3 linked regions of the Rattus norvegicus genome follow. The protein of the gene in region 3 interacts with the protein of the main gene of each other region in a biochemical or structural test. Links are inferred from orthologs where the notes say so. Each region holds a gene or a part of one and is shown on either strand. Other genes may lie near its edges.

Evidence for each region.
Region 1: the proteins of Ldlr (region 3) and Pcsk9 form a complex in vitro, tested with the Homo sapiens proteins (3 studies listed by IntAct, with this or other methods). The link is inferred for Rattus norvegicus from reciprocal best matches to the Homo sapiens genes LDLR and PCSK9.
Region 2: of the proteins of Ldlr (region 3) and Mylip, one has a biochemical effect on the other in vitro, tested with the Homo sapiens proteins (4 studies listed by BioGRID, with this or other methods). The link is inferred for Rattus norvegicus from reciprocal best matches to the Homo sapiens genes LDLR and MYLIP.

The regions. Positions count from the first base shown.
Region 1 is NC_086023.1:126,439,523-126,442,620, forward strand, and holds the end of Pcsk9 (proprotein convertase subtilisin/kexin type 9 precursor), read right to left. Parts: coding exon 3,053-3,098; intron 1,863-3,052; coding exon 1,647-1,862; 3' UTR 580-1,646; downstream 1-579.
Region 2 is NC_086035.1:19,511,584-19,515,674, forward strand, and holds the start of Mylip (E3 ubiquitin-protein ligase MYLIP), read right to left. Parts: upstream 2,889-4,091; 5' UTR 2,663-2,888; coding exon 2,576-2,662; intron 1,468-2,575; coding exon 1,277-1,467; intron 1-1,276. UniProt on the Homo sapiens protein: E3 ubiquitin-protein ligase that mediates ubiquitination and subsequent proteasomal degradation of myosin regulatory light chain (MRLC), LDLR, VLDLR and LRP8. Activity depends on E2 enzymes of the UBE2D family.
Region 3 is NC_086026.1:28,544,756-28,549,131, reverse strand, and holds the start of Ldlr (low-density lipoprotein receptor precursor), read right to left. Parts: upstream 2,942-4,376; 5' UTR 2,788-2,941; coding exon 2,721-2,787; intron 1-2,720.

The sequences.
Region 1 (3,098 bases), on a different chromosome or scaffold from region 3:
GATCTCAATAGAGTTGAAAGCACAGGTACCAGTGGCTGTGGTGACAGCCACTATTGTAACATTTGAGCCGTTAGCATCTGCCAGCTATAGTGCTTTTCACACATGGCTTTGCTTTGCAGAAAACCACTTGGAGACTTTTGGCAGATCCATTGTGTAGACTGTATAGAGATAGACCATGCCTAAGACAGTAACACCAAGGGGTCCACACTGCATGACAGGGATATTTGCACATTGCACACTGAAAAAATATCTGAGAGCATGTTTCATTTCAAATCAGGGGTAACTATAGACTGCTTGCAGAAACACCACAGACTAATGAGTGAATGAGCCGAGAAACATCACTGAGCCCTTGCTAGAAGGGTGGTAGAAGTGTTGGGAGCTAGGAGTGCTGTAGGCATGAGCCCAAAGAGTCTATAATGCTGGAGGGAGTGGGATCCCCAGGACAAATACTAGTACTCTGAGGCATCAGGAGGCTACAGGAACAGTGGCTGCATTCTTAGAATGGGCCCACTGCAAGCCTGTGCACGCCACCGTCTGGCAGATAGTCCAACCTGGTAAGCAGGCAGCCTTAGTCAGGTGCAGGCAGTCACATCAGCTTCTTTTATTCTGAAAAGTCACTACATAATAAAAACTCTATAAAACCCGGCATAAATATCGAGTTACAAAAGCAACGCAGGTAGGGAAAGCTTACTATAAAAAAGCAGAAGAGGTCAAAAGGATATAGGTGTTCTTGTCGACTTGTGTGGCCTTAGTACAGTCGCCCTCTGTTGCTCCTCCACTCTCCACATAATCCGTGGGACTGGGGCTAAGGGAGCATAGGTCCAGGAACAAGCCGCTGAAGCACAGCCTGTCCTCTCATTTTTTGTTTGCTTCAAAAATAGGATGCCCAGCCTGGCATTGCCAAGAGGCATGGCTTCAGGGCCAGCCACTCTGGATTTATGTCCTAGCATCACTGGCTGCATGACATTGCTTCTCTGGCCCTGTCTCTTCCTTCATAAAGTGAAGCCAGTCAGTGCACAGGGTAGTGGGGTAAGCCCTGTGTGGTTCTCCAGTGCAAACAGAGTCAGCTAGGAGTTCGTAGCGTGTTCTCCTGAGCAGGGCCAGAGCCTTCGGTGCAGCAGATGAGAACATCTGGAAGATACAGGTGAGCCTCACAGCTGGATCCACCCCTGGAGGTGGGCAGAACTGATCTGCATTAATCAGGGAGCCCAAAATGCTGTCTCCAGAGTAAGCAAGCTGTGAGTGGCCCCAGCAGCTTTCAGATACTGTTCTAGTCTGGTGACATCTGACCTGGGGGCGGGGGGTGACCGTCAAGGGTCACGATCCATCATTATCTTCCTGCAGGATACATTCACTCTGGAGGCCTAAGGCCTGAACACTAGCCTTGTAGCAAGTGCTCTCAGGTTCTGATATACTGGAGCAGCTGGCCAAAGCCAACTATAGCTTAACATCTTCGATGGCAGAAGGCCAAGCACAGGCCCCCTGACCATGAAGGAGGTGCTTCCCCACACATACACCAGGAATGGGTACCCAGGATGAGACGCCAAGTTCCCCCAGGCAGAGTCTCCCCACCTTTGGCTAGACACAAGAGAGCCAGGACGTCCATCTCTGCGTCCAGCCACAGGTACAATGCCTGCCTGAGGCTGTCACTGGTGAACCCAGGAGGCCTTTGCCGAAGGCCGGCTCCGGCAGCAGATGGCAGCAGCTACCGTGGCTTCTTCACTGGTCCTGTCCGCTCTACCAGCATCACGGATTCGTGCCACACACACGTTGTCCACACTGTAGGCCCCCAGAGGGAGGGATGCCCCAGGGAGAACGTTGCATCCAGTCAGGGTCCATCCTGCCTCACAGGCCACGGTGACCTGCCAGAATCCAGAGGAAGACAGCCTGTGTCTGAGACTTGTGGGCTGACCACGCTCCACAGCCTCTCAGACACAGGCAGGGTTGTACCCAACAGTAACCAACGCTCTCCTTCCAGGGCAGACGTCTAACTCAGCCACCTTCACTTCCCCAAAGTCACTCCCTCTGCAGCCTTCCATCCCATCTAATGGCAGTTCAGAGGCTCAGCAGAAACCCTGAACCTGTTCTTCACCTACACATCTCCGGTTGCAACACCTCCCCCTAACTCCCACTCCAGCCTAGACCCTCACATCCTAGACCTGGAGCAGTGCAGGGGCCATCCTGCAGACCTTCCTGTCTCAGTCCGGCAACCATGGGCCTGGTCACGCCCCAGGTCAGATGTTTCCAGACTTCTGAGACCCTACCTGCCCCACTGGCCTAGATGATCCTGTCACCAAGATATACTGTCACCCCTCTTGACCTTAGCTGTTTCCTCTGCCAGAAACTTTGTTCCCGATGGTGACCCTATGGCTTGTCATCTCATCTCAAGGGTGTCTCTACCCACCAATCTTCCCTGCTCCATTTTTCTCCATATTAGCACTCTCCATACTGGCCCTCTGGAACTAACTCTGCTTACTTCTCCCACCAAGTGGGACTCCTAGAGGGCCAAGCAGGCACCTCTGCCCAATTTATCTCCTAGGACTGGACTAGACTGGAGCCAGCCTCTCTGGGTACCTGTGCTCACTGATATAGTGGAACTGAGATTCCCCTTCATAGAGCAGCTTTCTGCCTCACACCGCCCACCCCCAGAGCTGTATAAAGGATGGACACTTCTGCCTCTAGCTCTGAAAGGCCATCTGTTGGCCCCAGGCTCTCTTCCCAGGGCTCTTCCTTTCCTCAACCTTCACTTGCTCAGCATCTACAGCTCTGTGTCCAGACTCTGCAGAACCTCAGCGGCCCCCATCAGAAAGTGCTCAAGCACGGTGTTTCCTTCCCACTTGCCACGACCATGCATGCTCTCAAAGAGCAGCAACAGTGGGCAGAAGCAAAACCAGGCCTGCCTGCCTCGCTCAAATGCTCACATGCTGTGCCTGCAACAGTAAAAACCGTCTAGCTCCTCTCCTGACCCATGGGGCCCCTTCAACACAGGGCAGCACCCCCCGCCACACACACACACAAGACCAAGGTACCCAGCCATCCCCAACTCCTTCACCTGCTCTGCAGGACCTGCGATGCCATGCTCCTTGATTTTGCATTCC
Region 2 (4,091 bases), on a different chromosome or scaffold from region 3:
CCCTGAAATCGCCGTATGTGACTGCTACACACACACACACACACACACACACACACACACACACACTCACACATACACAGAACAAATGCTGTGTCATGTATTTTTCTCACTTACTGAACTAAGGAAGCTTTCACAAACCAGATCGGTTGGTCTGTTCGTCTGTCTGTCTGTCTGTCTGTAAACAAAAATCTCTCCCAACCTTTAAAATACCATGGTAAGGCAACGTGGACATTCCAAACCCAAATGGACGGTATTTTTTAATGTTTCCATTGTTTGTCTAGTAAATAAACAAAAACCGGTATGTTAAAATCTCTCTGAGGAGCCTGTTCCCCCATTAGGAGTAGAAATCTACAAGATCACATTTTTCACATGCGTGGCCCACTTCCAAGCCACAGGAGTATGGAAAACATCAGTGCTGGGATCCAGAGTTTGCTGTGGTTTTAAAAGCAATCATTTTCTTTCTTTTTTTTTTTCCTGTAGTCTCTTGCATTTCAGTAATAAATATTAAACCCCGCCTTCCTATTTTGGTTCATCTTTGAGAAAAGTATTACAGTCAGCTCAGAGGGAAACGTGTGTGTGTGTGTGTGTGTGTGTGTGTGTGTGTGTGTGTGTGTGCATGTATTTTGGTCGTTTGAAAAAGGAGGCCACACCCACAGGCTTCAGTTGTCTACCAAGGCTGGGGGCCCTCCGTTTAACAAGGAGGGGGGAGAAAAAACCTCATGCCCAACAATCAATCATGTTTAATATATCTGTAGGGTGGAATTCAGTTTACAGTGGCCTTCAAAGAGTCCTTTTATTAATTTTTTGTGAAACTTAAAAAAGTTTTCAAATCTGCAGGAGGCCAGACAGAGCACTCCCGCTACACACTGTAATCTGACACTAGGCTGAAGATTGACCAAGTTTAAGCAACCCAAGAGGAACAGTTTCCTGCTTTCGGTTAGAACAGTCTACAGTGACCTGTAGTAACACTGCTGAGGCGGGGTTACTCGCGGGCATTAGATGAAGCAGTCAGGAAGTCGGTGTCAGGTTTTCTTTTTGTTTGTACGAAGTCAGCCCTGTTCTCTCACTAATATTATACAGATTGGAGGGGAGCGGGGTGTTGGAGAAAAAAATCCACCCAGGCCAACTGTGCTTCGAAAAACGAATTTAAGTTTTTCCAGAACTTTCTCTGCACCAAGTCAAATTTGCCAGGGGACATCTCTGGGAGGGCAGGATAGCTGCCTCTAAATGGAATCAGAGGTGTACTTGACATTGGTTTGTTTCCGCCTCGCTTTACCTTGTCTGCTCCTGTAAGATGAGATGGGGCTCCACAAAGAACTTGACCCTCAGTTTAAGCCGGTAAGGTGCCAGCCCATCCATCTGCTGGGAGATCCGGTTTCTCAGATTCAGCCATAAGCTTTCACCTTTGCTACCCGTGAACTGCAGCCCAAAATAATCAACTTCTATGATTCCCAATCGCCTGCACACCTAAAAAACAGAACCAAAGGTATGGGGAGATGAGCAATGCAAACCCAATGCAAACATCTGAGTGAAGGGCTGGCAACCACTTTTCTAAAGTTCTACCTTGTTGCAATGCCAGTGGTAGACCGGAAAAACAAGGTTTTAAGGTATCAGCAAAGCCAAAACGCAGCTCTCCAATGGAGGCTTCGCATTGCTCGATTATTTCTAGGGTCTGACCAATTGCACAGAGAAAGGAGTCCCCCCAAACAGATTTCCCAAATGGCTGAGGAAGAGGAACCCACAGGGTATTTTATTTCTTATTCCAATCGCTGCAATTCCCTCCACCAGCACCATCTGCACAGCTGATTCGGCAGCTTATTATCTGGACAGTTTTAACCATCTGGATTCCAAAAACACAAACGCATTGAGGAAGCATGCCACAAGTGTCAGCTAAGCTTTACACACAGCTCTCCAAATAGCTCAGGTCTACAGGTCTTGAAGGCACAGTGTTTCCAGGGGTCAAATGGGTCTGCTGTACCCATTATGCACACACTGTTAAGAGCCTTAGTCACTCTTAAGAAAACACACGTGTAAAGACCCCAAGCAGGAGACTGCCGGCAGAACCGTTCCCCCGCAAATTACTCGGGCATACTCTGGATCCCCAGCAAACCTGGAGTGTGTCAGGTGAACGAACAGTCCTTCTAAGAAGCAGCTTGAGACAAGGGCTCACCTGGTCAGCTAGGGAACCCCGGGGCCAGCGACCATTTGCAGCCACCTCATCCCGGGACGCGGGTGGCGCTGCCGGGCTTTGCAAGGACTCCACGGGAGGCATCACATACACACACCTGCGGCAGGTGTGCCCTGCCACCTTCTTTAGAGAAAAGTGCCAGGCTAGGAGACAGGGTGGAGGTTTCCGGCAGTGTCCTGGTCTCCAGGCCCAGGTTCCCCCACCGTAAGCGTCCTCTATGCCCCCCCCCCCACCCCAAGCTGGCAGGGAGGAGGAGGCTGAAGCCTGGCATCCCGGGAGCGCTCTACGGGCCGCCGCTGCAACGTCGCCCGGCTCCGGAGGAGCATCCCTGAGCCCCGAGGCTTCCCGGTAATGAGCAGGGATCCCCTTTCCTATCACTGCCATCACCTGGTTGAGACAGTCCTCGCCGTTGGCTTTTGCCTCCACCTCCACCTCCATCAGCACCGCGTCCGGCCTCGTCACATAGCACAGCATGGCTGGGGCCGCCGCCACCGCCGCCACGGCCGCTTCTTCTCCGGTGTGCGCCGGGGCTGTCGCCTCACTGCAATTGCTCCAAGTCGGCTCCGGGCACCGCGAGGAAGGTGCAGCCGTGCGGTCACCCGCCCTGCACCCCACGCAGCCGCCACTCGCGTCCCCGCCACCCCCCACGACAGCCAGTTCCCGGGAGCTACACGGCCGCGCCGCTCCGACAGCCCCACTGCCAGCGCCGCTACAGGCACTCGTCTTTTATAGAGGCCCCGCCCCTCCGGCGCCGGTCTTCACCAATCACTGCGTGCTTGCCCCTCCTCCCCAGCTCCGGCAGCCAATAATCAGTCTCAATAGCTGAAGCCCCGCCTCCCGGCACCGCCTGTGGAGCTGCGGGAGGTGGGAGCCAGTTCTCTCCCCAACCCCGGGTACCGTCGCGGCCTCTGCCACTGGGCGACGCTCCTCCCAGCCCGCTGTCGCCCGCAGCTCCAGGGGACGCCTTTCTGTCCCGGTTTGAGAGTACTGTGATCAAACGCTCCTGCGATGCCACGGTTCTCAGGACTCCTGCGTGGGGTTACTCTAATGACCCGGTGGTTTGAGCAAGTCAGAGCCTAAAGTTGATGCTTTTCCGCTAGGATTTGCCTCTGAGTTCTCAAAAGAACACTCTTGAGTAGAAAAGTTTTTGCAATTGACCCATAATAAGCCGGTAACTTGATCCAAGCACCATTCTTTACATTAACACGTGCCAAGGGTTTCTAGGCGTGGGTTCTGCTAAATAGTTATGTTACCCATCCTATCTCTCATCGAATTCATTTGCAATATACCAGATACACTCCCTGTCCTTTCTTTCAGACAACCAGATGTTACCCCATCTTAAAGGTAACAGGCTTATCTTGGGACCTAGCAGGAAGAGTATCGCAATACAAGAGATTAGTAGTTAAAGGTGTGAAATCTTCATATTTACTACTTGTTTCTCTTGGCCTATACTGTCTTTCTTCTTCTTCTTCTTCTTCTTCTTCTTCTTCTTCTTCTTCTTCTTCTTCTTCTTCTTCTTCTTCTTCTTCTTCTTCTTCTTCTTCTTCTTCTTCTTCCTCCTCCTCCTCCTCCTCCTCCTCCTCCTCCTCCTCCTCCTCCTCCTCCTCCTCCTCCTCCTCCTCCCTCCCTCCCTCCCTCCCTTTCCCTCTCCCTCTCTCCGTACCTTTCTCCCTACCTCCCTCCCCACTTCTCTCTCTCTCTTCCTTTTGGTTTGTAAAATAAACCAGGAAATGTGGGTTTCAGCCTTGGATCCTTGGACAACTTCATCTCTCTGAAGCTCAATGTCCTCACAGTAGAATGGAGACTAGCTATCTTTTAGACCTTCCCCGAGCATTGCTGTGAAGCAATCTAGCCATCCCTGCCTGCCAATGACCCTATCTCTGTCCTGTTTGTTTGCCGTGTA
Region 3 (4,376 bases):
GTCGGGAGGGGCCTAATGGCTGGTTCTAAGTCAGGGCTTTCTCCTGTTGTTATGGGAACGAAGCCCAACTGGAGGTCAATCCTGGTGAACAAACATTTACAAAAGTGTTTTCATAGCAACCCTAAACATGAGGGGCGGCACCAGCAGTTCCAACCCACCAACGAACCGGCTGTGTCCATTCTACCGTGGGTAATGCCATCGGCTAAGCAGGGTGTGAGTAAAATAAATCCTCCGTAGCATCCATGGTGGCTCAGGAGCAAAAGTGCTCGCCGGCCTCCTCACCAGCAAGCCTAACATGAGTTAGGGACCGCCAACCCCTGTCGTCTCCATAAGCAACCAAAGCTGATTTGCCCCACATGCCCAGAGGGTGCAGATGCTGCTGACAGAATTAACGCATCAAAAGCTTGGTCAAAGGAGCCAAGCATAGAGGTGGCCAGAGTCTTATCAGGACCAAGCAGGGAGATAAGAACCCTGAGCGGTCAGAGTCAGGAGCATTGCCCTCCGGGTTTGTAATTTCAGGGATGCTCAGGTAAGAGGCTCCCAGGGCTCAGGAGTCAGAGGCAGGGCGCTACCCTGTACAGTGAGACTCTACTTAAAAAAAAAAAAAAAAAAAAAAAAAAGGCCAGCCTGGGCTACATAGTGAATTCAAGGACAGCCTGGGCTACAGAGTGAGATACTGTCTCTCCAAAAATAAATAATCAAAAAGAACAAGAGGGAAAAAAAATCCAACCCTATTCAGTGGTTTACCAGTTTTACTCAGCAAGGAATGTGACAGACAAATGAAGCTGAAGCACCACTGTGAGCTAACAGTGCGTGCTACAGACCTCTGGCATATCTGACACCCCTCACACGGCTGCGGGCTCTGTGTGTGTGGAGGCCAGAGTTCCCAGTCGAATGTTTTCCTTAGTGTTCCTCCTCCTCACCCTGCACCCAGAGCTCACCCTCAAGTCCAGGGATCCTCCAGAGTGGTCATTTCAGGCTGCCCCACACATGGCCATGTCACCAACTGACTGAGCCACCACCCCAGCCCCCAGATCTGCTCTTGAGCCATCTAAAGATGTGTTCACAACAGATCTTAAAACAGACAAACCGTCCAGTTAATGCACTGAAGCTTAACCTAGAGCAAGCCGTAGTGTGGCTGCCCGGAGCATGAGAGGGAGGCCAGCACCCAGTGAGGCCAGCACGGGCCCCTCTGGCTTTCCTGTGAGACAGGAAACTTCAGCTCTTGCTCAAGACTTTGTAAAATAATTTCCTCTCTTCCTTTTTGTTAAAGAGAGCAATGACAGGCGAAATGGAAGCTGAGCAGGATATCTGGTCTACCCTTGTTTGCAATTATAGCAGGATGGCTGAGTGTTTGCCTCAGTGTTCAATTACAGCTCGCTCTCTCTCTCTCTCTCTCTCTCTCTCTCTCTCTCTCTCTCTCTCTCTCTCTCTCTCTCTCTCTCTCTCTCTCCAGGGGTTCACTTCACTGTATAGCCCTGGCTGTCCTACAACTCACAGGGCTCCACCTGCCTCTGACTTTCCGGTGCTGGGATTAAAGGTGTGCCCCAGGATCCCCAGCTCCGCCAGGCTGTCTCAAGGAAGCATCCCCAGGATTGACAGTCACACACAGCTAGCTAACTCCTTCCAAGCTCCTGCCTGGATCCCATGCATGGCCCCAGGTTCTATCCATGGTATCCCCAAATCTAGGTGCTATGGCACATACCTGTCACCCCAACACTCCCAAACTGAGGAAGAAGAATTAGGAGCTTAAAGTCATTCTAGACCGTATAGTGACTTATAGGCCATCCTAGGCTACATGAGACCCTGTCTATAAAGTAAGGGAGAGGTGGAGCATTTGTCCCAGTGTGCAAGGATCTGAGTTTAATCCCCAGTGCTGCAAAGAAGTCGTGGGTGAGATTATAACACCATCTAACTTCCTGTCCAAATTCCAGCACTTCTCCTAAAACTAAAGTCCACTTGATGGGGCAGCCCAATTCAACACATTCAGAGAGTGGGAACAAACCAGGCCAGCAACAGTCCTCGCCAGATCCCTGGCTCTCCTTGACTGATGGTCCCGGCTACCAGGGTCTGGGTTGCCAGAGGCACAACTATGAAGCTGACCAGAGAAGTGTGGACAAGGTAGTGAGTGACTCACACAGGGGAACCGGGGCGGCCAGGATGTGTAGCCCCACCCGACCCCGGAGACTCAGGCAAGCCACGCCCCTGCACCTCATCTTCTTCTTCCATTGGGCGAGGGGAGTGGCTCGAGTCTCGCCTGTTCCGGCTTTACCCAATAGGAGCTCGGGGGTGCGGTGGGAGGTGGGGTTAGGGCGGAGTTTTAGGGCACCCGGCAGCAGCGGGGTTTGAGCGCATCTGTGTAGACCCCTCAAGTCCTATACCTACGACTAGTGACCCCAAAGTTGAACAGCTGAGCCTGTCTCTCCCCAGTCCTTTAAAACGAATGATGGGAGCCCTCCTCTTGGACTCCCTCACACATAGCTCTGAAGAACACCGCTAACTCGAGAGAGCACCTACCCGTCTCCCCCCAAACCTACTCTGACCCCCTACAACTCTGGCATCCTATTTCCAGAACAGCTCCCTCCAGCCACGTGGGAAGGACATCATCCCAAGTTCGCATGAGTGATTCTATTTCTCGTCCAAAAAGAAAACCACTCGGGGCTCCCCGAGTTCAGAGCGGCTGGCCCTGGCCCTCGGCAGGCTCCTGGAATAAGCCTTACCTGCAACTCCAGCAGCAGCCAGGAGCAGGGCGATGGCCCAGCGTAGCATCAGATCCGCGGTGCTCATCCTCAGCCTCTGCGTCGCGTCCCCACTCGGATCACAGACCCGAAATGTTCCCGCTGCAAACACAGGATCACGGGTCCCACGGTGTCTCAGCTGCAAAACCTGGGTGGCAAGCCCCACGGTATGCGGGCTGCAATCCTACGCCGCACTGGGTCAACTGGTGACTGACTACACGCGCAGAGCCAGAGTCATTCTCAGCCCTAGGGACGAGGTTTCCAGAGGGGGAGGAGTCTGCAGTGGGGTGATTTTCAAAAATCTACTCCTCACTGTGCGGGGAGGAGCTTGGAACGGCCGATGTGACATAGGATCTTTAACCCCTGAAGCTCCCTTAGCCTTGGGAAGTTCCTCGAGTTCCTCCTTCAGAATTTCACCAGTTCCCAGATGCTTAGCTGTGGACTCAGCTCTCACTGTTCAAAGGACGACCCACATCCTTCCACACCCTGGGTCGCCTTCTGACGTTTTCCTTTCCACCTCCAAAGGAAAACAGAAGTATGGGACCCCCCAGCCCCCACCCCGGAGCCCCCAACTCGTGTGCGCGCACATACACACAGACTCCTTGCAGCATTTACTCTCCTTTCTAGGAACGGGCACATAGATTTTTGACCCAAGTACAGTTGCAGGTTTTAGATGGTTATTCGGATCCGACCATAAATAGCACTCAGAGAGGAATGTAAGTAAAATCAACCAGAAGTGCTACCAAAACATGAGTTGGGTCAGTGGGTAAAGGCGCAAGGGCCTCAGATTCCAAACCTAGCTCCCAGCAAAAGACACTGGGGCTAGTGAGCTGGCTTAGTGCACACAGCCAAGCCTGAGGACCTGAGTTCAAACCCGAGGACCCACAGGAGAGGCGAGAACTCTTTCTGTGACCTGAGAACAGGACAGGCTGGACTGGGTTGGTAGAGTATCTTCGTGGGTTCCATCCCCAGCATCACATAAACCGGGCCTGTTGTCACAAGTGTGTGGTCTCAACACTCTTAGGGAGGAGGCTAGCCTTGGCTACACAGATAGTTGAAGACAGAAACCAAAAAGATGTAAGAAGCTTCTTTTGTGAGTTGATTTCTCTCATTTTTTATTTTTGAGACAGGGTCACTCTATTATCTAGCTCTGGCTATCCTGGAACCCACTATGAAGGCCAGGCTGTCCTCGAACACAGAGCGATCCATCTGCCTGTCAAGGCATGTGCCACCACCTGCCCAGTTTATCTCTTCCTCTCCTGGGTTTTGGGGTGCTTGTGTGTTCACATGTATATGTGTAGGCCAGAGTTCAATGTCAGGTGTTCGCCTCAGTTGCCTTCCACCTAATTAAAAACCATCGTATTGTATTGTGTGTGTGTGCTCATGTGCTCATGCCTGGCAGAAGTCAACAGGTCAGTTTTCTCCTTCCACGGCGGTCTCAGTCCCAGCCTAACTCGCATGGCCACACGTGGCAGCTCCCTCGCTTGGCAACAGGAGACTCACTATTAATAACCCACAACTCGTGGGTTCAGTGATCTCCTTTCTTGGCCTCCTGAGCAGCTGGGACTGCAGCATGAGCAGTTTGGGACTCCCCACCCCTGCTGTGCCCTCCTTAGAGTCACTGGGAAGGAATCTCTT